Linked DNA regions of Macaca fascicularis. The protein of the gene in region 1 interacts with the protein of each later gene in a biochemical or structural test. Links are inferred from orthologs where the notes say so. Each region holds a gene or a part of one and is shown in the gene's direction. Other genes may lie near its edges. The genes, in order: ATXN3, PRKN and calpain-2 catalytic subunit.

Evidence for each region.
Region 2: the proteins of ATXN3 (region 1) and PRKN form a complex in vitro, tested with the Homo sapiens proteins (4 studies listed by BioGRID and IntAct, with this or other methods). The link is inferred for Macaca fascicularis from reciprocal best matches to the Homo sapiens genes ATXN3 and PRKN.
Region 3: of the proteins of ATXN3 (region 1) and calpain-2 catalytic subunit, one has a biochemical effect on the other in vitro, tested with the Homo sapiens proteins (2 studies listed by BioGRID). The link is inferred for Macaca fascicularis from reciprocal best matches to the Homo sapiens genes ATXN3 and CAPN2.

Annotation. Positions count from the first base shown.
Region 1 is NC_088381.1:160,072,204-160,080,487, reverse strand, and holds part of ATXN3 (ataxin-3), read left to right. Parts: intron 1-2,729; coding exon 2,730-2,862; intron 2,863-3,511; coding exon 3,512-3,678; intron 3,679-4,886; coding exon 4,887-4,983; intron 4,984-6,696; coding exon of another isoform or gene 6,697-6,730; exon of another isoform or gene 6,731-6,750; intron 6,751-8,284. UniProt on the Homo sapiens protein: Deubiquitinating enzyme involved in protein homeostasis maintenance, transcription, cytoskeleton regulation, myogenesis and degradation of misfolded chaperone substrates.
Region 2 is NC_088378.1:8,860,816-8,869,099, forward strand, and holds part of PRKN (E3 ubiquitin-protein ligase parkin), read left to right. Parts: intron 1-3,844; coding exon 3,845-4,085; intron 4,086-8,284. UniProt on the Homo sapiens protein: Functions within a multiprotein E3 ubiquitin ligase complex, catalyzing the covalent attachment of ubiquitin moieties onto substrate proteins. Substrates include SYT11 and VDAC1.
Region 3 is NC_088375.1:81,725,642-81,733,925, forward strand, and holds part of calpain-2 catalytic subunit, read left to right. Parts: intron 1-718; coding exon 719-776; intron 777-3,268; coding exon 3,269-3,333; intron 3,334-5,002; coding exon 5,003-5,071; intron 5,072-5,610; coding exon 5,611-5,689; intron 5,690-6,952; coding exon 6,953-7,069; intron 7,070-7,325; coding exon 7,326-7,384; intron 7,385-8,284. UniProt on the Homo sapiens protein: Calcium-regulated non-lysosomal thiol-protease which catalyzes limited proteolysis of substrates involved in cytoskeletal remodeling and signal transduction. Proteolytically cleaves MYOC at 'Arg-226'.

The DNA of each region.
Region 1 (8,284 bases):
CTTTTATAGTTAAAACCTTGGTTCCTAATGATATCCCTTCTTAAAAACCCTGTCTGCCCTTGACCTCCAGCCCACCATGCTGTGGTTTTCCTAACTTGTTGCCTGCATCTTTCAGATCCCTTTCATGGATCTTAGGTATATCTCTAAATAAGATCTGTGTGTCAGTAATTACCAAACTTTTATCTTTAGTCTTGACATCTACCCTGAACACCTAGCTTTGACTAACTCCTAGCTTTGGCATCTCCACTTTGAAGTCCAAAAAGCATTTCAAACTGAACATGTCTATGAAAGACTTATTTTTTTTTCTATCCATGCTATCTATCAGGTTTTCCATTTCCATAAGGGTGACACTTCTTGTACTCTGGTTCCTATATATTATACTGATAGAGCCGCTCAGAGTGCTTCTTAACCAGTGTAATGCCTGTTATGTCCCACCCTCACTCCTTGTCTTTCAGTGGCTTCCCAGCACACTTAGAATAAAATCTGAAGTCTTAGGCTGAGTGTGGTGGCTCATGCCTGTAATCCCAGCACTTTGGGAGGTTGAGGGGCAGATCACTTGAGGTCAGGAGTTTGAGACCAGCCTAGCCAACATGGTGAAACCCTGTCTCTACCAAAAAAAATACAAAAATTAACTGGGCGTGATGTTGTGCACCTGTAGTCCCAGCTACTTGGGAGGTTGAGATAGGAGAATCACTTGAACCCAGGAGGCAGAGGTTACAGTGAGCCAAGATCATACCACTGCACTCCAGCCTGGGTGACAGAACAAGACTCTCAAAAAAAAAAAAAATTGAAAAGTAAAATAAAATCTGAAGTCTTGAATAAAACCCAAGATCTTGACCATGACCCCTGAACAGGGCAGAGTATCCATTCTTCAGACACTCTTCATAGAATACCATGGTGAGCTGGCATATTTATTGTACGATATAGAAACAGTTTTACTGGCAGAAAACACATTAAACCATTTGAACTCTGAATACAGTTGTCCTCATAAAAAATGTTCATTGTACTGTTTAGAGGTTTTCCATTAGTAGTTCTTACAATCTTTGTCCCATTATGTGTTAATTCTAACAAAGGATATCCAATAACAAACACCAGAGTTTAAGAAAAATGTGCCAGGTGCGGTGGCTCACACCTGTAATCCCAGCACTTTGGGAGGCTGAGGTGGGCAGATCACCTGAGGTCAGGAGTTTGAGACCAGCCTGGCCAACATGGTGAAACCCCATCTCTCCTAAAAATACAAACATTAACCAGGCGTGGTGGCGGGCGCCTGTAATCCCAGCTACTCAGGAGGCTGAGGCAGGAGAATCGCTTGAACCTCCTGGGAGGCAGAGGTTGCAATGAGCTGAGATTGCACCACTGCACTTCAGCCTGGGTGACAGAGTGAGACTCCATCTCAAATAAAAAATAATAATAATAATTAATAATAGAAAAACTTAGATTGTTTTAGGTATAGCCCACTCTTAGTTTTTGTGTGTAGCATCTAGCTTGGGGAAACCCTGGATTTCTGGAATCATATTTATACACAGTCACACTAGACTAATGTAATTCTTTTGGGATGCAAACCACACGTTTGACACCTTAAATAGCTTTTAGGTATTTGGCTTCTCAGCTCCTATTTTTAGTTACAAGGGGTATACATGTGTGGGTCAGGGTAGCTCTTTCCACAGATGATTAGTTTTAGCCATGTTACTAGTTATTGCACACATTATCTGACTGTGTCCTCGAAACAGCCCTGTGAGTGTATTAGTCAGGGTTCTCTAGAGGGACAGAACTAATAAGATAGATGTATATATGAAGGGTAATGTACTAAGGAATATTGACTCATATGATCACAAGGTGAAGTCCCACAATAGGCTGTCTGCAAGCTGAGGAACCAGGAAGCCTGTCCAAGTCCCAAAACCTCAAAAGTAGGGAAGCTGACAGTGCAGCCTTCAGTCTATGGCCAAAGGCCCAAGAGCCCCTGGCAAACCACTGGTGTAAATTCAAGAGTCCAAAAGATGAAGAACTTGGAGTGTGATATTTGAGGGCAGGAAGCATCCAGCATGGGAGAAAGGTGAAGGCTCAGCAAGTCTGGTCCTTCCACACTCTTATTTCTGCCTGATTTATTCTAGCCGAGCTGGCAGCTGATTAGATGGTGACCACCCAGATTGAGGGTGGGTCTGCCTCTCCCAGTTCACTGGCTTAAATGTTAATCTCCTTTGGAAACACCCTCACAGACACACCCAGAAACAATAATTTGTAGCCTTCAATCCAATCAAGTTGATAATATTAACCATCACAGGAAGGTACCAGTATCATTATGTTTAACAGTAGAAACCAAGACAAATGCAGCTAGGAAGTGGGAGAACTGGGATCAGATGCAGGCAGTCTGATTCTCAATCAGTTGCTCTTACCGACTCCTTTACTCTCTCTCATACCAGTAAGTGAGTAGCCTGCTCAGTCAAGTGCTATATTAGTAGGGCCCTTTACAGACATTTACTTCGCACAGTCACTCAGTGAGACGGCTATTCCAGTCTTACAATGGAGAAAGTGAGGCTCAGAGATTTTAAGTAACTTATCCTAGATGACTTTACTAGTAAGTATAAGAATCATTATTTGAACTAAAATCTTTCTGAATCCTCAGCTTGTATTTTTTTCCAGTGTACTGTGCTGCCTCTTTACTAGCATTTTACATCAATTTTGAATCTCTTTACTAGCTGTTTAGGTTGATTTTTGCCTTTTTGTTTTAGGTTATTCTATATTTGTTGTTAAGGGTGACCTGCCAGATTGCGAAGCTGACCAACTCCTGCAGATGATCAGGGTCCAACAGATGCACCGACCAAAACTTATTGGAGAAGAATTAGCACAACTGAAAGAGCAAAGGTAAAAATGAGGCCTGCAGTATGGAACATATGACGATATTTCATTATGAGAATAAAATTTTCATGCTTACATTGAATATGTGGTCCTTGTGTTGTCGGCACCTCTATTTTGGACCTTACATTTTAGTGAAGTTTATTAGTTCGAACGTGAATCAACTCTTTGAAATACTTAAATATATTAACTAAGTTAGCAGGTATGGTGTATTCCTAGCACTTCAGGAGGCTGAGGCAGGCTGATTGCTTCAACCCAGGAGTTTGAGACCAGCCTGGGCAACATGGCAAAACCTCACCTCTACAAATAGTACAAAAATTAGCCAGACGTGGTGGTGCGTGTCTGTAGTCCTAGCTACTTGGGAGGCAGAGGAGGAAGGATCACCCAAAACTGGGGAGGTCGAGACTACAGTGAGCCACAATCACACCACCGCACTCCAGCCTGGGCAAGAGAGTCAGACCCTGTCTCAAAAAAAGAAACAGAGAAAAAAAACTTAGTTGGATTCAAATTACAACACAATCATTATATTACTAGAGCTTATTTGCCAGAAAACGTTTTAAGTTTTGGCTTACGTAAAGCCTTTACATTACAAATGCCTTTATGTTATGTCTAAAATAGAAGATTGGTTGCAGTTACTACCAGTGCTTTTGTTCTTTAGAGTCCATAAAACAGACCTGGAACGAGTGTTAGAAGCAAATGATGGCTCAGGAATGTTAGATGAAGATGAGGAGGATTTGCAGAGGGCTCTGGCACTAAGTCGCCAAGAAATTGACATGGAAGATGAGGAAGCAGATCTCCGCAGGGCTATTCAGCTAAGTATGCAAGGTAAAGACATTCTGATGTGTGTTGTATTCATTGCTGAAGAATTGATTCCAATTATTCTTAGGTTTCCTGGAAGTTAATGTACTCTTAGAAGTGTTTTGACAATTACTGCAGAAGCAATAGCTATATAGTGGGCTTTCCCTTTAGATTTCTTATAATGGAAATAACTTTTTACAACCTATATTTTATTAGGAGTAGTTATATTTTTACTCCTGGTTATTTATTTGGTTTCAATAACCTGTACTAACACAGTAGTCAATTGTGGTGTTAATCTTTGTGGGTATCAGTTGACCCTTACCCAAATCAGCTCTTTCATAAATGTATGTCATTAGACACTATGGAAGGGCCTGGACAGGGGATATAAACTGATTATACAAAAAGCCAACATTTATTGGCTATGCAACTTAAACCTTAAGCCCGCTTTGGTGGGCCCAGTTTTTTAGTGATATAAACTATCAATTTCAAAAGTGAAAACATATCCCCTATACAGTCTAGGCAAAGAAAAATGTTAAGACATAGCTCGAAGTTTCTTAATTAAAAGTTTGAAGTGGGTTTTTTGTTTTATTTTTCTCTAACTTATGTGTATTTGCTTCTACTTTCTAATGAAATTATTTATCAATTGATTTCCTTAGATATCCAGATAAAATTGAGATTCCATTAATGGGAAGATTATTTTCATCCTGAACTTTTCTTGCCTCTAGGCACACCTCTGAGTACTCCATATGGTGTGCAATCCCATTTTTGATTAATAGAGTCCTGCTGGATTAGCAGGGACAGAAATCAGCTTTAGATTTCTTTTGTTTTTTGAATTAAGAGTCTCACTGTCGCCCAGCCTGGAGTGCAACAATCTTGGCTCACTGCAACCTCTGCCTTCCGGGTTCAAGCAATTCTCCTGCCTCAGCCTCTTGAGTAACTGGGACTACAGGCACCTACCACCATGCCTGGCAAGTTTTTTGTACTTTTAGTAGAGATATGGTTTTGCCCTGTTGGCCAGGCTGGTCTTGAACTCCTCACCTCAGGTGATCCACCTGCCTTGGCCTCCCACAGTGCTGGGATTACATGTGTGAGCCACCACGCCCAGCCAGAAGAGTAGAATATTCTTCAAGAAAAAACATTTTAAAAGCTTACTCAAATGAGTATAAACAAATGTATTGTTGCTTGAATTGGTAAATACAGTGATTGGTTTTTGTTCTGTTGTGTTTTGTTTTCAGGTAGTTCCAGAAATATATCTCAAGATATTCCACAGACATCAGGTACAAATCTTACTTCAGAAGAGCTTCGGAAGAGACGAGAAGCCTACTTTGAAAAGTAAAGTAGTTGGTACAAATTAAAGTAGCACGTTTAATATTTGCTTTGGCTATTTTGTCTGTTTGTAAATGGTTACTGCCTGAATCCTATGAATATTTGAATGCATATTTAAAAAATTTACAGCAAATAGGACAGGCACGGTGGCTTACGCCTGTGATCCTAGCACTTTGGGAGGCCAAGGTGGGCAGATTGCCTGAGGTCAGGAGTTCGAGACCAGCCCAGGCAACACAGTAAAACTCCATCTCTACTAAAAAATACAAAAAAATTAGCCGGGCGTGGCAGTGTGCGCTGTAGTCCCAGCTGCTTGGGAGGCTCAGCCAGGAGAATTGCTTGAACCTAGCAGGTGGAGGTTGCAGTGAGCCGAGATCGCACCACTGCACTCCAGACTGGTTGATACAGTGAGACTGTCTCCAAAAATATATGTGTGTATATATAAATAAAAATAAAAATTTACAGCAAATAACATGAAGCAAAATGTAGTTTTAATGAAAAAGTTTGCCTCAATACTGGATAAATTTTTGAAACTGAGTGAAGGAAACCTTGTACAATTTCATTTATTAAAAGAAAAATGAAATTAGGACAAGGCAAGAAGAATACCTATTGATCCTTTGGATGTGCTTCTTGCTTACCTGATTAACCCTGCAAAATTTCTCTACCAATCAGTAAGAAAAACAGCTTTTGAGGTATGGGAGCACATTCCCAAATAGACATGGGTAGTTCATTTAGCTGCTCATGGCTGCTGCAGGGGGTCCTGTAGGCCTGTTAGCATCAGGAGAATGGATGCAAACCATAAATCTGGATCAACTCCTAAAACTTTACCTTGTGCCCAGCCTTGTAAGTGCTTGCTAAATAGGAATTCCACTGTATGAAAATACATTCTTTTCAAGTAACTATTATTCAGACTTTTGTCCCCCACTTTTTTAAAAAAAGAAGAAGAAAAGGCTGGGTGCAGTGGCTTACGCCTGTAATCCCACCATTGTATGAAATAGGAATTCCACTGTATGAAAATACATTCTTTTCAAGTAACTATCATTCAGACTTTTGTCCCCCACTTTTTTAAAAAAAGAAAAATAAAAGGCTGGGCACAGTGGCTTATGCCTGTAATCCCACCATTTTGGGAGGCCAAGGCGGGTCTTTGGGAGTGAGTTTTTGGGAGGCAGGAGAATCGCTTGAACCCGGGAGGCGGAAGTTGTGGTGAGCTGAGATCGCGCCATTGCTCTCCAGCCTGGGCAACAAGAGTGAAACTCCGTCTTAAAAAAAACAAAACAAAACAAAAATTAGCTGGGCGTGGTGGTGGGTGTCTATAATCCCAGCTACTCGGGAGGCTGAGGCAGGAGAATCGCTTGAATCCGGGACGCAGAAGTTGCAGTGAGCTGAGATTGTGCCACTGCACTCCAGCCTGGGGACAAGAGCGAGACCTCGTCTCAAAAAAAAAAAAAGAAAAACTCCATGTTAAAAATTACAAGATAAATAATCAGACCCGCTGATCCTAGGTCAGAAAACAAAAGACTCATAGCTGAATCTGACCTGCCATTGCTGTATTTCATCCATTCTAAGATGCACATAGTTTCACATTTCAATGTCTCTGAAATTGAGAAGTATCTTACAATCATAATTGACAGTATATTAGCAGCACCTAAAAATATTGGCTCATTTTACATTTGATGGTATAATGAAGAAAATATTTACCTTTTTTTCTGTTTTGTTTTTAAGTCACAACTCAGAAGTAGATGAAGGAAAATTCTGATCAGCTGACATCCTCTTAATGTGAGATATTTCTAGTCTTTATTCAGCATAGATTAATGGCTAATTATATGTTACATTTCAAAGTAGTGCTTATTAGTGCTTTTTACTTTTAAGTTTCAAAATTAACTTTTTTATTAAACTCCAAATTTATACAAAAGTAGAAAAACTAGCATAATGAACTCTTGTTTATCACCCAGATTCAACAAATACTAGCACACGGCCAATCCTGCCTTTTTTTTTTTTTTTTTTTTTGAGGTGGAGTCTTGCTCTGTTGCCCAGGCTGGAGTGCATTGGCACAATTTCTGCTCACTGCAACCTCTGCCTCCTGGGTTCAGGCAATTCTCCCACTTCAGCCTCCCATGTAGCTGGGATTACAGGTGCACACCACCATGCCCAGCTAATTCTTATATTTTTAGTAGACACAGGGTTTCACCATGTTGCCCAGGCTGGTCTTAAACTCCTGACCTCAAGTGATCCACCTGCCTCGGTCTCCCAAAGTGCTGGGATTACAGGCATGAGCCACTGCACCTGGCCCAGTCTCGTTTTATAATACTCCCATCTCCCATTCTTTCCACTGTCCCACCTACAAGTTTGGATTATTTTGTAACAAATCTCAATCATCATATCATTTGTTCTATAACCATTTTAATATATGTCTCTAAAATATATGAACTTTTTTTAACATAGTTAAATGCTATTGTCATAAAATAATCATGATAATTAATTGTAATTCTATATCACCAATTATCTAGTTAATGTAAAAAATAACTTAAATCTAAGGCCAGGTGCGGTGGCTCACACCTGTAATCCCAGCACTTTGGGAGGCGGAGGCGGGCGAATCACCTGAGGTCAGGAGTTCAAGACCAGCCTGACCAACATGGAGAAACCCCATCTCTACTAAAAACACAAAAAAATAGCTGGGCGTGGTGGCGCATGCCTGTAATTCCAGCTAGTTGGGAGGCTGAGGCAGGAGAATCAGGGAGACAGAGGTTGTGGTGAGCTGAGGTCTTGCCACTGCACTCTAGCCTTGGCAAAAAGAGTGAAACTCTGTCTCAAATAAATAAATAAATAATAAAAAAATAACTTAAATCTACTTAATTAGAAAAACTAATATTCTGGAAATTTTATTTTAAGAAATATCTAAATTGGCCGGGCACGATGGCTCACACCTCTAATCCCAGCACTTTGGGAGGCTGAGGCGAGCAGATCACCTGAGGTCAGAAGGGTCAGGAGTTCAAGACCAGCCTGGCCAATGTGGCGAAACACCGTCACCACTAAAAATACAAAAATTAGCTGGGCATGATGGCGAGCCCCTGTAATCCCAGCTACTCAGGAGGCTGAAACAGGAGAATCTCTTGAACCCAGGAGGTGGAGGTTGCAGTGAGCTGAGATCACCCCACTGCACTCCAGCCTGGATGACAGAGTGAAACTCTATCTCAAAAAAACAAACAAAAAAAAAGAAATAGCAAAATTAAAAGAAAGCATACATGGCCAGGTGTAGTGGCTCATGTCTGTAATCCCAGCACTTTTGGAGGCTGAGGCAAGCAGATCATTT
Region 2 (8,284 bases), on another chromosome or scaffold:
CTATGTTCTTTCTTTCTTGTTCTGCTGATTCCCTCTGTGGCACTTTGGACACTGAGCTCATGACTGTTTATATTCATTCATTCATTCACTCCTTCATTCTTTCTTACTTCCCTTCAGTCATTCACTTTTTCAAACTTTTTAAATTCATAAATATGTTTCTACATCTCCTGGCTTCAAAGCACTGTGTGATAGATAAATATTAGTATGACCAAGTTGTTGGTCTCAAGTATTTCTAAAATAAGTTGGAAGATAAGACTCAGACACACACACACACACACACACACACACACACACACACACACACACACACACACACACACACACACACACACACATACTGTCCAAGCTCTAACCACTGCAATAAGAAGAGCACAGTAAGCAAAGATTTTTAGATTCAGATGAGGGAGAAAGTTGTTACTTTTCTCTAGGAGGATCACAGGAAGTACCTGAGTCCTGAACATGGAAAGGAAGGGACACAATGTGGATAGAAACCTCAGGATAGGCTAGGGTGCTAATTCTCCACTCTTCCTTCTGTGGCAAAGCTCAGGTCCTTGAGCATACTCGGATCCTGATGCCAGTTTCTTTGAAATGACTTAGGCTAGAGGCTGTGTGTAGCTAGAGGAGTGCTACCTGACATGGAGCTGATCATAGACAGTGATACCTTGTCCAAGTAGAATGGAAAATCGAGGACTGTCTGCCATTATTGCTCAAAAGTCAAGCACAAATCTCAGTGCCATAAAAGCATGCCATCTTTCTCATGTGCCTGCAGGTCAGTGGGGGTGCCCATGGCCTCAGGCTGGCTTCAGCTACAGGTCCCTGCTTTATACTGTGACTATGGCTGCACTTGGTCACCTCTGTGGGTTGGACTCAGGTGTGGGCCATGTGTGAACAGGTGGAAGCTTTCTCGGAGGTTCTGTTTTTTGCGACGGAGTCTCGCTCCATGCAGTGCAGTGCAGTGGCGGGATCTCGGGTTACTGCAACCTTTGCCTCCTGGGTTTAAGTGATTCTCCTGCTTCAGCCTCCTGAGTAGCTGGGATTACAGGCACACGCCACCATAGCCAGCTAATTTTTGTGTTTTTAGTAAAGGTGGGGTTTCACCATGTTGGCCAGGCTGGCCTTGAACTCCTGACCTCAAGTGATCCACCCGCCTCTGCCTCCCAAAGTGCTTGGATTACAGGTGTGAGCTACTGTGCCCAGCAGGGATGTTCTTTTGATGGACCTTAGCAGCGGGACAAATACAAAGCCCTGGTTCCAATTACATCTGCTAATGTCCCTTTGGCCAAAGACATTCAAGTGGCTGGGCACAATCACTGGGAGAGGAAGTGGGGAGCATGATGTATGCACACTAATGTACGGGCGTGCATAATTTTGAAGAATAGTTTAATCTGCCACACATATAATATAGGAGGGGTAAGGAAGATAAAAAATCAAATCTAGATCATGATCTAGAAAGGAAAAAAGTACAAATACACTCGAAGAACATGGGAGATGTTACAGTCCATTTTACAAGTAATACTGAGACACTTTAGAAAGATTATGTAGCACACACACACCCAGAATTCTTGTACATATTGGACTGGAGTATGGCTATATTGGATGTAAAAGGAGTAATCGTGAGGGAGGCCTAAAATGGGGAGGTGAATATTGAGATATAAAGGAGTTGAAGATGTGAAGGGTAATTCTGAGACAGAATTGCTAACTGTTGGTGCCTTGCCGATATCAAAGATTAGGTAGGTGAAATTCAAGATAGTGATTCTCTTGCAGCCCATTACAAAACATGGGAGGATAATGAGACTTTCAGGTGGAAGGGGAAGGCTCGAAGTGGGTGATGTGGGGGATGGTTTTTCCTGACAGAACCAGGGAAATCATGCAGGGGAGGACTTCAAGTCAGAGAATGATGAACAGTGGCCCCTGCTGAGTAGGAACAGTCCTGGGGAGAGGCTGGGAGCTCTGAGAATGGGGATCGGGAGGGGCACAGGGCCTGGGGATGAGATGGAGCCCCAGGGTGTGAGAGTAGAGAAGAGGTCTGAATGGGATTTAAGGACAAAGGGTGTCCTGGTGCCGTACTGGATGGAGGAGCCAGACTCCAGCCGTTGTATTTGTGGTCAGATTGTTGGTGAGTGCTGGGCATCACTGTTCGAGGGACATTGATGGTGAAGGCAACAGAAGAGCTTGAGAAAGCAGCAGGGGAGGGCATCATTTACTGCTGTTAGTTATGGATGCATTTCATTTGAGTGTCCTGGGAGCATTCCTAAAATGAGAATGGCAAGAGGTATTTGAAAGGCATTGATTCATTTTAATTTTTATTTTATTTTGCTTTATATTTTTTGAGATGGAGTCTTGCTCTGTTGCCCAGGCTGGAGTGCAGTGGCATGATCTCGGCTCGCTGCAACCTCCGCCTCCCAGGCTCAAGCAATTATGTTGCTTCAGCCTCCTAAGTAGCTGGGATTACAGGCCCATGCCACCAGAGCTGGCTAATTTTTTTGTATTTTTGGTAGAGACGAGGTTTCACCATGTTTCCCTGGCTGGTCACAAACTTCTGGCCTCAAGTGATCCGCCCACCTCAGCCTCCTGAAGTGCAGGGATTACAGGCGTCAGCCACTGTGCCCGGCCACATCGATTTGCTGAGAGAGTAAGGTCCTTGCTGTGTCTTAAGAGGGTAGCAAGCAGATCAGTAACTGCTTCTATGTAGTAGATATTCTTTTTTTTTTTTTTTTTTTGGTGGGGGGATGGGGGTGGGCATTCAAGTGATTCTCCTGCCTCAGCCTCCTAAGTAGCTGGGACTACAGGCACACAGCACCACGCCCGGCTAATGTATTTGCAGTAGAGACGGGATTTCACCACGTTGGTCAAGCTCTTCTCGAACTCCTGACCTCAGGCGATCCACTCACCTCGGCCTCTCAAAGTGCGGGATTAGAGGCCTGAGCCACCGCGGGCGGCCCTATGTAGTAGATATTCTGAAACTAGAATTCCATTTAGGGTAGCCTAGTTCTTGTCCTGGCAAATAATCTGACTTTTAATTTTTATGCTAGAAAATGTTAAAGTCTTCTTCTGTTCCTACGTGTCAATATATAGATGCAAAACCTTTTTGTAAATGTTTGCTGATTTTCATAGTTAAATCGACCGAGAGAGAATGAACCGTGGGTGGCAGGAGTGTGCTCCTGCCTTGCTTCCCCACTGGTGTAACGATGTGTGTTCTGGTGCCCGTGGAGGGGTGTGTGTGGAGTCTACTCAAACACATTCATTTCCAATGCTGTACGGAAATGCCCTCTAATTGATAATAACTTTCTGTACTTTTATAAAAAAGAAAAGAATGACATATCAATTCTGATGTCAATCAGTTTTATTATTTAAGAATATTTTTAGTAGCCAGGCGTGGTGGCACCCGCCTGTAATCCCAGCTACTCGGGAGGCTGAGGCAGAAGAATTGCTTGAACCCGGGAGGTGGAGGTTGCAATGAGCTGAGATGGCACCACTGCACTCCAGCCTGGATGACAGAGTGAGACTCCATCTCGGGGAAAAAATAAAAAAAGAATTATTGTTTTCACTGTGCTTATAGATCCACTTTGGTAATTTTTTTTTTCCTGGTAGATTTCATGTCCTTTTGAATATGACTTCAGCGTTCTGTTGTGTTTCACGTATCCCCAAATTTCTGTTTCTGGCCCCAGTTCAGTGTTGTTTGTCTACCATGTGTAGTGTGTAAGTGCTGTGGCCAAACATGTGCCTAAGCTGGTCAATTACATGTCACTTTCCCTTCCCTTCTAACACTGAGGACAAGTTAAACTCTATCTGGCATTTCATGTTTGCCATTTCCTTGTTTTTTTTCCACCTTGCTCCCAAACAGAACTGTGACCTGGATCAGCAGAGCATCGTTCACATTGTTCAGAGACCACGGAGAAAAGGTCAAGAAATGAATGCAACTGGAGGCGACAACGCCAGAAACACGGCGGGAGGCTGTGAGCGGGAGCCCCAGAGCTTGACTCGGGTGGACCTCAGCAGCTCAGTCCTCCCAGGAGACTCTGTGGGACTGGCTGTCATTCTGCACACTGACAGCAGGAATGACTCACCACCAGCTGGCAGTCCAGGTAATTGGAATGCCCTAAGAGTATTAGAGCATTCTGTTTGTTTGTTTAGTGCAGTCTCCATGGAGCATGGCCTCACCAGGTGCATATTTAGTGTCGATACGTTTTGGATTTGAGTCTGTAATTCACTCCAAGGAGACATCACTGTAGGTGGAGTACTTTGATGTAAAATTTGAGAATGCACTTATTATAAGTACTATGAAACAGGTTTTCACATTGAGATTAAATAGAAGAGATATGTTTCTAGTGATGTAGAAAAATTCTAAAAAGTAGAAAGATTTTGAAAGCTAATCGAGCCATTTGTAGTTTCTCAAGCCACATATTCCAATGGCAATGACATCCTTAGTGTGAAAGGATTCTTCCTTCTCTGTTCTACCACCCATTTCAAAATGCTTTTCTTTGGAAAAGATGGTTATTGTTTAGTTATTTTTAAAATATTAATATGTGTCTCTTAGTCTTTTATTCTCTAAATAGTCAAAGGTGTAATAGAATTAATTTTTACTGTGTCTGACAGAATACACAAAATAATCACAATGACTTTACAGGGTAGAAGTTGATTTTCCTCCCACATACAATAGATCCTGGCAGTTGTGGGCTGGTATGGCCTTCACAGTGTCAGAAAGTTCTGGGACCTGCAAGATGGAAGCCTGACGTAATAAGAAATGCCTCCCACTAAAATTACTAAATAAAATTTAAGGAATTAAAAATTTTCAATGAGCTTGCAAAAAATAAAAAAAAAGATAATTTTCAAGGACAAGTGAAAATGTAGAAGCAACATCTTTAAATACAGGAGTAGATAAACCCAGAAAGTAAGGCATTAGCTGATGCTCTGGTGATCTTGAGATGACTGTGGGAGGGAAAGAGGCTCTGCTTCATGTGAGCTGGGCACCTCAGGTCTGGAAAGAAAAACTGAGAAATGGAAACAAATGTCAAAAATGGGGAAAAATGAAATAAATCTAAACCCCTGCAATGCCCTTGTGATCCAGGATATGATAAATTAATATAAATATCAAACCCAAGCTCCTCACAATTCTGATGTTTCAACCAGAGTATGTAGAAGATCATTCTGACATTGACACCTCTAGAGAAAAACAAGCCCTACTAAAGGATACTCAGTGCTCCAACATTATAAACCAAACAAGGGAAAATTCCACCTTGAGGGTGTATGAGACCAGAATATACCACCCCAAAATATGCCATGTTAGCATAAGTATTATTTTGAGCTGATTATTTTGAGAAACAGTAGACATAGGACAAGCTCTAAAAACAGAGCGGAAGTCACCCTTTTGTAAGGGAAATTTATATCTACCAAGGAAATCTCCATTTGTAAGGGTGTCTCCCTCTCCTTACTAGGATGAGAAGGACAGAGTCTCTGGAGACTCTGATTCTTGAGAAGCCACCAACTTAATAATCTGCGTAACAAACCTTACTCTTGTCTTCTCCTCTCCCTTTCTTCCTTTGCCGTAGAAGATAGTATCCAAGCCTGAATTTTAGACCACCTCTTTGAGATTTATGCATTTTTTCTGGATGTCTAACATGTACGGTCATCCCTCCCCATCAATAGGCAATATGTTTCAAGTCCCCCAATGTAGGGCTGAAACCAAAAGTGGTACCAACTGTGTAACAGATTGGATTTATTATGTTAGTAGACCTATCTACTAGTTCTTTGATTTCCCAAAATAAAATTCTTACTAAAAATAAAAAAATCACATTGTTTAGAACAAAATTAAACCTTTACCTATTACTGAATATTAAAAACAATTTTAGCACAATAATCATATTCTGTACATATTCACATTCGTTAATCCATTTCCTAGTGCATCTGTCTCTACTATCTTATCAAACATATTTATCTGACTCTTCTTATTTTGTTTTATCATAAAATTGTCCTTGGTCTTCTCCAGAATTTTCTTTTATGAGAATGAACTTAGAATTATTGACATTTTCAATTGACTTTTTTTGTCTTTCTCTCTAGACCATAATTTTTTGTTAAGAAAATATAGTATTCTCTCTATATAGGGTCTGAAGTACCAGTAGGCACTGAGAAAATTCTGCTAAATGTATAATATTCTCTTTATTTTTAAATTGAAATGTGTAATTATTTCCACCCAAACAATAGACAATAAATTCTAGTAAATGTGTGGAATGCGGTAAATGACAGCAGCTTTCAGAGTACTGTGTGGCCTATGATGACATGCTGTTTCACCTTTACTTTCCACCCATGTCTGAGTCACATCTTACCTCTGATCACCATGTTTCTCATTTACCCCTCTGTCTTGTGGTCTGCCAGCTTTGTGCATTTTGCAGGCTAGGGACTGGCTTAGGCAACTCTACATGGTGCAGCTGGGGGCTGCAGGGGTGCCCTCCTAATACACTTCTCCCTGCACCACTACAGACTGGGGGTGACTTCCTGGTACCCTACATACTGCTACTGAAAGGCCTCTGTGTAGTTATATTGCATCTGTAAAGGATTGGGAAAAGAGACATGGCTTATCCCAGGTCAACTTTCAGATTTAACTCTGTGTTAAACTAACAACTAAACTACAAGTAATCCTCTCCTACTCATTAGAACCGGAAGGAATCCTTTTCAGAACCCTTAGGACTCTCCCTTGTTACTTGCTAGTTTGTACTCCAGTTCCGACTTCGCCTTTGAATCTCTTTGAGGATGGAGTTTTTGTCCAGTTAACTGTAGTTTTCCTCAAAATCTCTTAGAAGAGTGGTGAGACATGTTTACTAAATTCCTTAAAATTGTAAACATAGTAAGTCATTCATCAGAATTCCTGTGCATTTAGCTTTTAGAACGAATGCTTTATTTAAGATTATACAGAGAAAATGAGACTTCATCTCTTCAAATGTCTTGGTTCATTCTTGGTTTGAGTTACGACTTTGGAATGATTTGAAATGACTATATGCAAACAGTATGCCTATATGATTATTTTTCTTCACTAAAAATTATAGCGTAAAGTTACTAGAGCAGAGAGTCACAGACTGCCATGTGCAGAATTATCTTGCATGCTTTTCCATGTTTCTTTGATGGCCAGAATGGCAAGAAAAAAAATAAATCTTATTTCATTACTTTTCTGTGACCAGAAATTCTGATGTATTTGTCTGGGGGTAGAGGCCGCAAAATGTTGCTACTGATTACACTCTGAGAAACTCTGCCCTATCGCTACGATTTTCCAGTCTTACAATTATGGATCCTACGTGTTGTTCTCATGCAACAATCGGATGCTGGGTGGGAGAACAGAGGCAGGTTGGTGAGAGGTGAACACACCGAGCCAACCACAGAAGCCTGAGACAATTCCTGTCTACGTACTTCACATATTAAACACATACAACATCTGTCGTTTGGAAAGACACAAATGATCCTTGGTTATACAATGATTGAAAACCTCTGCCTCAGAAAAACAGATTAAAAGAAATTCCAATTTTCTGTACTTCCAGAGTCTTCAAATTCAGCTTCGAAGGATATAAGTGCTGGCTGGATGTGGGAGGGCTCTAACGGGTGAATAGCTGGGCTGTAGCCACACATGTTATTGAAACAAGTGGAAACTTCTGAAACCCGAGAAGGTGCCTTTCAAGTCTTTTTAGTTGGCAAAAGATAACTGGTTAACATGAGAGGTGACAACATGATGTACATGAATAACTGGTTACACGGTTGGTACCAAGAACGCAAGCATGTCACACTAAGATTTGTAAGAGGACGTCCAAGAACTAGAATGAGTCATTGAAGTAATTTTTATAGCAGTGCCACTCAAGCTTTAGTGCTCATCAGAATCACCTGAGGACCTATAAAATCACAGATTCCTGGGCCCAGAACATTTGGCCTTGGATGGAAGCTGAGAAGTTGCAGGTCTAACAAGCTCTCAGGTGATACTAATACTGCGGGCCCAGGGGCTGTGCTTTAAGTAGTACTGCCCTAAATAGTAAAAAATAGTATTGCTTAAAATATGGTCAGTGAATAAAATCTATTTTACTATGTTGTGAACAAGAACATTGAGCTGCACCTGGGCTGCAGAGTGCCTGTGTGTAAATTACCTGCACGTGTTGCTGGTGTTTCCTAAATGAGCCTCCATTCATCATCTCCTGACAGTCAGCTGAAGTCATTGGACCTAGCCCAAAAATAGGAGGCCCCTCTAGTAGCATACAGTTAATGAACTACATAAACGAATAATGACTGAGTCCTTCCTCTGTGCCAAGCA
Region 3 (8,284 bases), on another chromosome or scaffold:
CCCCAAAAGGCAAAAATGACTGCAGTCAATCTTGGTTTTAAACAAAGGAGTTTATCCATGAGTTACATAAATATGTATAAGTGAATAGAGACATCTGAGCCTGTGAGGGACCCTGGCATGATGGGCATAGAGGAGGGTCAGCTGGGTCTTGGAGGCAGCTGGTTTTCACTAGTTTTACAGGAAGTCTGAGCTTTGAGTTTTAAAGAATGAAGAAGACATGCCAGATAAGAGGAATGGTGTAAGAGAACTAAGTTAAGAAAGACCACAAACATGGGTAGAGGGGAGTATTTATTATTTATATTCTCTACAGCAAAGAAATGGTGAGTGGACTCTCCCTACTGCATCTGTGCATTAAAACATCGTATCTAGGTCAAGCGCAGTGGCTCATACCTGTAATTCCAGCACTTTGGGAGGCTGATGCTGGAGGATCGTTTGATCCTAGGAGTTTGAAGTTTCAATGAGCTAGGATCATACCACTGCAGTCCAGCCTGGGTGTTCTAAAAAGAACAAAACCAAAAACTGTATCTAAAATCCAGGATGGGGCAGTACTACTCAAAGTGTGGTCTGGGGACAGCAGCCCCAACATGGCCTGGGGGCTTGTTAGAAATGCACATTCATAGACCCCACCGCAGGCCTACCTAATGCACTGCTGTCCTGCGCTGTGCTCATCCAGCTCCCATGGGGGGCCAATAACTATGCTCTGGTTGTGTGTCCACAGGATGCAGAGATCTCTGCCTTTGAGCTGCAGACCATCCTGAGAAGGGTTCTAGCAAAGCGTGAGTATCTCCTCATTGCAAAACCTCATCCTGCTCTTTCCCCTGTGGATGGGAAGGAACATGAAAATCTTTCTTCCTCCATGTCCGGCTGCTGTGACTAAACCACCACCCTCCATCCCCTCCAAGAAGTGGATGAAGGATCTGTATGATGTGATAAAAAAAGAACAAGTGTTTCTAGCATCCACAGATCAAAGATCAAATCCACATTTCCACTACATACTTACTAGCTTTGTGTGATCAATTTTTTTATTTTATTTATTTATTTATTTGTTTATTTATTGAGACAGAGTCTTGCTCTGTCACCCAGGCTGGAGTGCAGTGGCGCAATCTCAGCTCACTGCAATCTCTACCTCCCAAATTCAAGTGATTCTCCTGCCTCAGCCTCTGAAGTAGCTGGAATCACAGGCATGTGCCACCACAGCCAGCTGACTTTTGTATTTTTGGTAGAGATGGGGTTTCACCATATTGGCCAGGCTGGTCTCGAACTCCTGACCTCAAGTGATCCACCAGCCTTGGCCTCCCACAGTGCTGGGATTATAGGCATGCACCACCACACCCGGCTAACTTTTGTATTTTCCTAGAGGCGGGGTTTCTCCATGTTGGCCAGGCTGGTCTTGAACTCCTGGCCTCAAGTGATCCGCCTGCCTCAGCCTCCCAAAGTGCTGGGATTACAGGTGTGAGCCACCACGCCTGGCCACATCTTGTAACTATTTCTTTTTTTTTTTTTTTTTTTTTTTTTTTTTTGAGACAGAGTCTCGCTTAGTCGCCCAGGCTGGAGTGCAGTGGCGCGATCTCGGCTCACTGCAAGCTCCGCCTCCCGGGTTCATGCCATTCTCCTGCCTCAACCTCCCGAGTAGCTGGGACTACAGGCGCCCGCCGCCTCGCCCGGCTAATTTCTTGCATTTTTAGTAGAGACGGGGTTTCACAGTGTTAGCCAGGATGGTCTCGATCTCCTGACCTTGTGATCCGCCCGCCTCGGCCTCCCAAAGTGCTGGGATTACAGGCGTGAGCCACCGCGCCCGGCCTCTTGTAACTATTTCTTAAGCAAAAAAATGTCAGAGGATTGATCATTCAACCCCCTACTGTGGATCACCAGCAGGGAGGAGCGGGGAAACACAACACAGAGACATTTTTTCCCCTCAAATTAGCACAATAATCATGCTGCATTTGATAAGAGAGCAATTGGCAATCCAGGAAGCAGAGTTTTGTACATATCAGAAGCTAGGAATCTGCATCAGAGACAAATGTAATCATGGTCGTTTGCTGCATACCAGCCCTAGGGATCATCTCGAGAAGCCTCATGGACTTCAGGGGACATCATTCCCTCTCATAAGATGGCCTCTAGCCTAACTCCATGAGATAAAATAAATCTGCCTTTCAGAGCCAAAGAAGAGTCCAGGGCCAGCTGGGTCTTCCCTCCCAGTGTGAACCAAGAGGGTTGGGCCAGCCAGGCTACAGTCAGTCCAGTGCAGGGCCTCCCCAGAGGGGCCCCGGTCTCTATCCGCCCTCTAATTTTCAGGGAAGGCAAGAAGACTGTGTTTACCCTGGAGACCACCAGGCACAAGTGAGGTCACAGAGCTCTTCAGATATGCAATCCTCATGAGCTGAGGAGACGAAAGCCTCATTGTTTCTGCACAGATGGAGGGTGGGGCTGGGAGGTGGGGAAGAAGCGGGCCTTGCCTGGATGCAGCCCACTCCTTGCTCCGGGAGCAGCATTCACTCCGCACATGCCTCTGAGCTTAATACCCTAGCCCTAGCCACCTGGTGACTCCAGCCTTCTGGAGGGCTCAACGCCAGAGTCTGCATGCGTGGCCGTTGGGCCAGAGCCTCATGACCATCTAAGAAGGGGTTGGTGCCCAGAGTGGCAGCTTTGAGGCAGGTCAGGCTCTAACCTCTTTCAAGGACATGACAAAAAAGCTGGACTTTTCGTGAAGTCTGTGGGGAGCCAGATTCACATTGGTGACTAGGGTCTCATGCCACCTGCCAACACCAAGTGGATAGGACTCCCTTAGTGCAGCATGATGGCTTGTGGAGAGATCCCAGGGCTTCAGGTTTCTCAGTCAGCTGGGGACACAGTCCATAAATGTCTGCAGATGGACAGTTCAAGTAAACCTCTTTCTCTCACGGGTCATAGCCTATAATTAACACACCTCCTCTCTGTTTTCTTTTTCCCTGCCCAACAACTACAGGTGACTTTATATCCAGTGGGCACCTAAGGCCAAGCCATTGATCATTCTGTTATTTATTTGTTCAAAAAGCACTTTTTAAAGCCCTGTTTGCCCATGGCAAATATACAGAGACATCAGGACAATGTGGACATCGTCTGCACTGTCCCAATCTGGTAGTCACTGGCCATGTGTGGCTATTTATATAATGGAAGTGGCTTCTGTATGGGAATGGGCACAGATAAAGAATATCTCCATGATTGTGGAAAGTTCAACTGGACATCACCGCTTAGAGATTTTTCCTGTCACACTGATTTTGTCTTTTAGGCCAAGATATCAAGTCAGATGGCTTCAGCATTGAGACGTGCAAAATTATGGTTGACATGCTAGATGTATCCTTTAATGTGCTCCAGAGAATAGAGACTAGGGGAGTTTAAAATCTCACTCCAGAAAAATTCAAACACATGGCCTTCTCCCCTTTCAAAATGGCCAGTTGTTCCCAACTTGCTGAGTTGCTGTCGGACAGTCAGCAGCACTGACCTCCCTTACTAGGGAAATTCGAGAATCTTCTGATGAGGGAAAGCAAATGCTACACCTCCCCCCAACACCTACCCTGAAAGGCTTAGAATGCAGGCCCACGGCCTGGCGCCATGACTCACGCCTGTAATCCCAGCACTTTGGGAGGCCAGGGTGGCCAGATCACGAGGTCAGGAGTTCGAGACCAGCCTGTCCAACCTGGTGAAACCCCATCTCTGCTAAAAATACAAAAATTAGCTAGGCGTGGTGGCATGTGCCTGTAATCCCAGCTACTTGGGAGGCTGAGGCGGGAGAATCACTTGAACCTGGGAGGCAGAAGTTGCAGTGAGCCAAGATCGCGCCACTGCACTCCAGCCTGGGCGACAGAGTGAGACTCGTCTCAAAAAAAAAAAAAGAAAGAAAAAAAAAAGAAAAAGAATGTAGGCCCACCAGTCCATTCCTGGGGCTGGTGCAGGAAGTTCCTGACAATATGCCCATCACTTCTTTGCACAAAGCAGCTCGAATTTGTTTCCTCAGTGATGTGTTTCCATTACTTCCTCTAGGAAAATATTCCCTAACCACAGTATTTCTGATGTGAATCTGTTTTGTCTGATCAAGATCGTCTTCTTGATTTAGATAAGAGCTACTTTCATAAGCATCCTACTTCCCTTTTGCTCTAGCTCCTTCCCAGACAACCCGCCTGTCCCCAAGGCAAATTAGTCATCCATTTGCCCCTTGTTTCCAATGCTTAGTGAGAAGTGGTGGTAAGGGGCAGCCTGAGCTTCTGTGAAGTTTTTTCTGTGTGTTTGTTTGCTTGTTTAGTTGGTTGGTAGGTTGGTTTTTTTGAAACAGGGTCTCACTCTGTCACCCAGGCTGGAGTGCAGTGGCATGATCTCAGCTCACTCCAACCTCCGCCTCTCAGGTTCAGGTGATTCTTCCCCCTCAGCCTCCCCAGTAGCTAGGACTACAGGTGCATGCCACCACACCCAGCTAATTTTTCTCTTTTTAGTAGAGTTGGGGTTTCACCACGTTGGCGAGGCTGGTCTCAAATTCCTGACCACAGGTGATCAGCCACCTCGACCTCCCAAAGTGCTGGGATTACAGGTGTAAGCCACCATGCCTGGCCACTTCTGTGAAGTTTTATTTAGTGGATTCACGGTGTGCACCTGCTAGCTGCCTTCACCAAAGGCCTCTTAGATATACTCCACATACTCTAAAAAAAGAGCAAGGGCTTAGCCACTAGAAGCCATCCAAAGCCCTCTGCATGTCATCCAATAGCTCATTTTTAGTGGTATCTGGGGCCTCCACAGCACCTCCAGATCAAAACAGCAACCAGAATCGGCAGGGAGCCAGCAAGTCGTTCTCGCCCTTCCTCCAATCCTTTAAACGGAGGTTTAGCCAGTGGGAAAAGCAGGAAAAGGATCCTTCTGCAAACCCTCCCTGTGCGTGTGCTATGATATTCAAAAGATCCAGTTGAGAAGACAAACTAGGTGACACTATGCCCAAATGGACCCACACTCAAGGGCTTTCCTTGACTGAAGGCAGTCAGACGGGAGTGGCAAGCTGGGGCTGAAGGAGTTCTACATTCTCTGGACGAAGATTCAAAAATACCAAGTAAGATCCCAGAGGTGCGGGTGGATCTGTGTTGGGGAACATTCTGTGTGTATGCTTTAAGATGCAGCAACTCCTCCACAGAGTGGAGAAACATTTCCGAGGGGATTGGCATTTTACCCATAATGAAGCTCAGAGTGAGTAAAGACCGGGTTGAGGAAATGCAAACAAAAAACCAACCAGGATTTTGCGGGTGAAGTGGCCTGTTCCCTTCCTCCCGATTATTGGGATCATCTAAAGGCCGCCATCAAGGGTTTCCTGCAAAGGGTTTTTGACAGCTAAAGTACAAAAATTATATATAAGACAAGAACATGGGCCTATGGGCATTGGCTGGCTGACTTGATGGGCATATTTACAAACCAGCTCACAGACAGAAGCAAAATACTGTTAGTTATTCAAGGCAGAAACATGGGTGATTCTTCCAAGGCCAAACTAGAGGCACAGAGCTGGAAAAACTTCATCTCCACTCAGCACATACTAGGGAGGTAACTCGCCAGCTTTGCTTTGGGTCATAGTTCTTACAACTAATTTATGTGTTCCAGAAAATTTACCGGGAAATCGACGTTGACAGGTCTGGTACCATGAATTCCTATGAAATGCGGAAAGCGTTAGAAGAAGCAGGTAACCCTTTATAATTGCATTTTCATTCCTAGTTTAATCTGGCTGTAGAATATGTGAACACTCATCCTATACCATATAATACAAGGTTTGGTAAAGCTATAAAATAAAGTAGGTGCTGTTTTAATACAAACACCTCCTTTTCATTCCCCTTTTAAAGACTAATTGGTAAAATTAAATGCAGTAGGATGCTCTGCCCTCTGTGCCTTCTTGAATCCAAGTTTCCTTCAGAGTCCCCTGGCACAGCAAGCAGACAAAGCCAGTTCTCAACAGACTCCTCCAGGTGCCTCCTTTCTGGTGCAGGGTTGGTTAGGCAGAAATGGAATGTTTCAGCTCAGCCCTTAGGGTAAGACCCTAGCAGAATTGGATATCAATAAAAGGACACAAGCTAGTGGTAGACCAGCAGAGTGGGAGACTGCTGGGCTTTGGGAACAAATGCGACAGCATGAGGCTGTACATTCTATTTGCTGGAATATAATGCTGCCGCAGAGACCCCACACAACAGTGGTTTAAACGAGGTACGTCTTTCTGTCGCATGGCAATCCCAGCTCCAGCGGTCCACAGCTAGGATGGTGTCTCCTACTCTCCTACTGTGTGATCACTCTTCCCCCAGTCTCCCCCCATCCATGATGCCCACCGGTCCTTCGAGGCTTGCCCTCATCCGAGGGACCTGGGATGGCGTGCCACCACAAACACATGCCGCCAACAGGTTGACAGCAAAAGGCTCCTCGCCTTTAAGGGCACACAGGCCATTTCTGCTCACACATCCTACCAGCCAGACTGTGATCGCAAGGCCTCTGTTGGCTGCAAGGAAGCTGGCACATGCAGTCTTGAAGCTAGGTGGCCACAGGACCAATAGAAATTATTTTACTCTGGAAAGAGGGAGAACTACCATGAGTTTACCAGGAACAGCTTCTGCTCACATATATCCAGGAAGAATCTGGTCTCCAAGACCATTCAGAGCTAAACAAAAAATCAAAAAGCAGCAGCATGGTTAACAACATGAAGCAACCATGACCATGAGAACAAGAAAAGACTTACGTGTCATTAAAGACACAGGCAGGGTGAAGGTGGACAGTCCAGAAACAAAAGAAACAGCAGACGGTACTGGCTTTGCAAAATCAAACCAGTCTCATAGAAGAGCGGCCAAGGGACAAAAGCAATTATACCTCATTTAAATCACCACTTGGTTCCATAGCCTGTGAGTGCAGCTAAATGGTACAGTCTAATGCTTAGCAATCAGTTTGTTTGTTCATGTAACTTCAGGTTTCAAGATGCCCTGTCAACTCCACCAAGTCATCGTTGCTCGGTTTGCAGATGACCAGCTCATCATCGATTTTGATAATTTTGTTCGGTGTTTGGTTCGGCTGGAAACGCTATTCAGTAAGTGGATATTTGGGGAAAGACTCATTTCAGTTATCTTGGTATTAAAGTGGCCTGCCTTTCACCTTGGTGAAATCATCTAAACTAGAGACATGTCTTCCAGGAGTTGAGAATGAACTTCCCTCTTTACTAATTTGAGAGTGAGGAAGAAAGCGTGTATGGCGGTCAGTGAAGTCAGTTGCTGAAATGAGAAAAGGCTAATGTAATCTCTGTTTCAGCTCACTCACTCGTGACATCCTTTTTTCTCCCTCCACAGAGATATTTAAGCAGCTGGATCCCGAGAATACTGGAACAATAGAGCTCGACCTTATCTCTGTGAGTCAGCAGCTCATACCCCCACCTTGCTTCTAAGGGGATGGGGGAGGCATGGGGCGGAAAGGGCTATTACCTGAGTGACCTGCTTTTTCAAGTTTTGCTTTAAAGAGCTCTTGGTCTGTCGGGGCCAGGCCTGTACACAGCTGTAAGATCCCACAATGCACTTTTATTTGCAATTGTTTTCCAACTACCTATTCTCAAGTCCAAAATGCATGCCTGGCTCCCTCTTCCCATGAGCTTTGACTTGAGTGTAGCTCAAGGTTAAACTAAGGAGTGGCTGCAGGATGATGCTTAGAAAAATGAACTCTTGATTAGTATGCAAGGGAGAACATGCTTATATAAAGAAATTCTTTGGATGAAATTCAAGTTGGGTTTTGGGAAGATCCATCATTCTTAGAATGGATCTACTTAAAATACTTTGTGAGCAAATTAGTTTTCTCTACTCCCTCCCCATTTAAGATAAAACCAACACTAGTAAATACGTTTGCCATTTATTATTATTATTGCACTCATGTGTCTGGAACCCTAGCAATGCACATCTCTGAAATGATCATCAATCTAAATTAAGTGGGTATGCTAATTTCACAAAAAGCAAAGCGCAAAATGTTCTCTTATCATCCCAGTGACAGGAAGTTCTCTCACTGAAAGAAAGAAGCCAGGTGAGGTATACTTCCATTATCACCTGGCTCCAGTCAGCATTTCCTCTATACTCAGGGAAGGCCACAGAGGGCCGGGTGAAGTGGCCGACAATGGGTGAGAATGGTAGTTGTCAGTCCTGTCTGTATAACAGAGGAGTGAAGTAGTGAGGAGGGCAGGTCTAAGGCACTGGCAGCTCTTTTCCGTGGATTTTGAACTCTGGAAGAAGCCAGCAACTAAATAACTGTCTTGTTCTGCTATTAT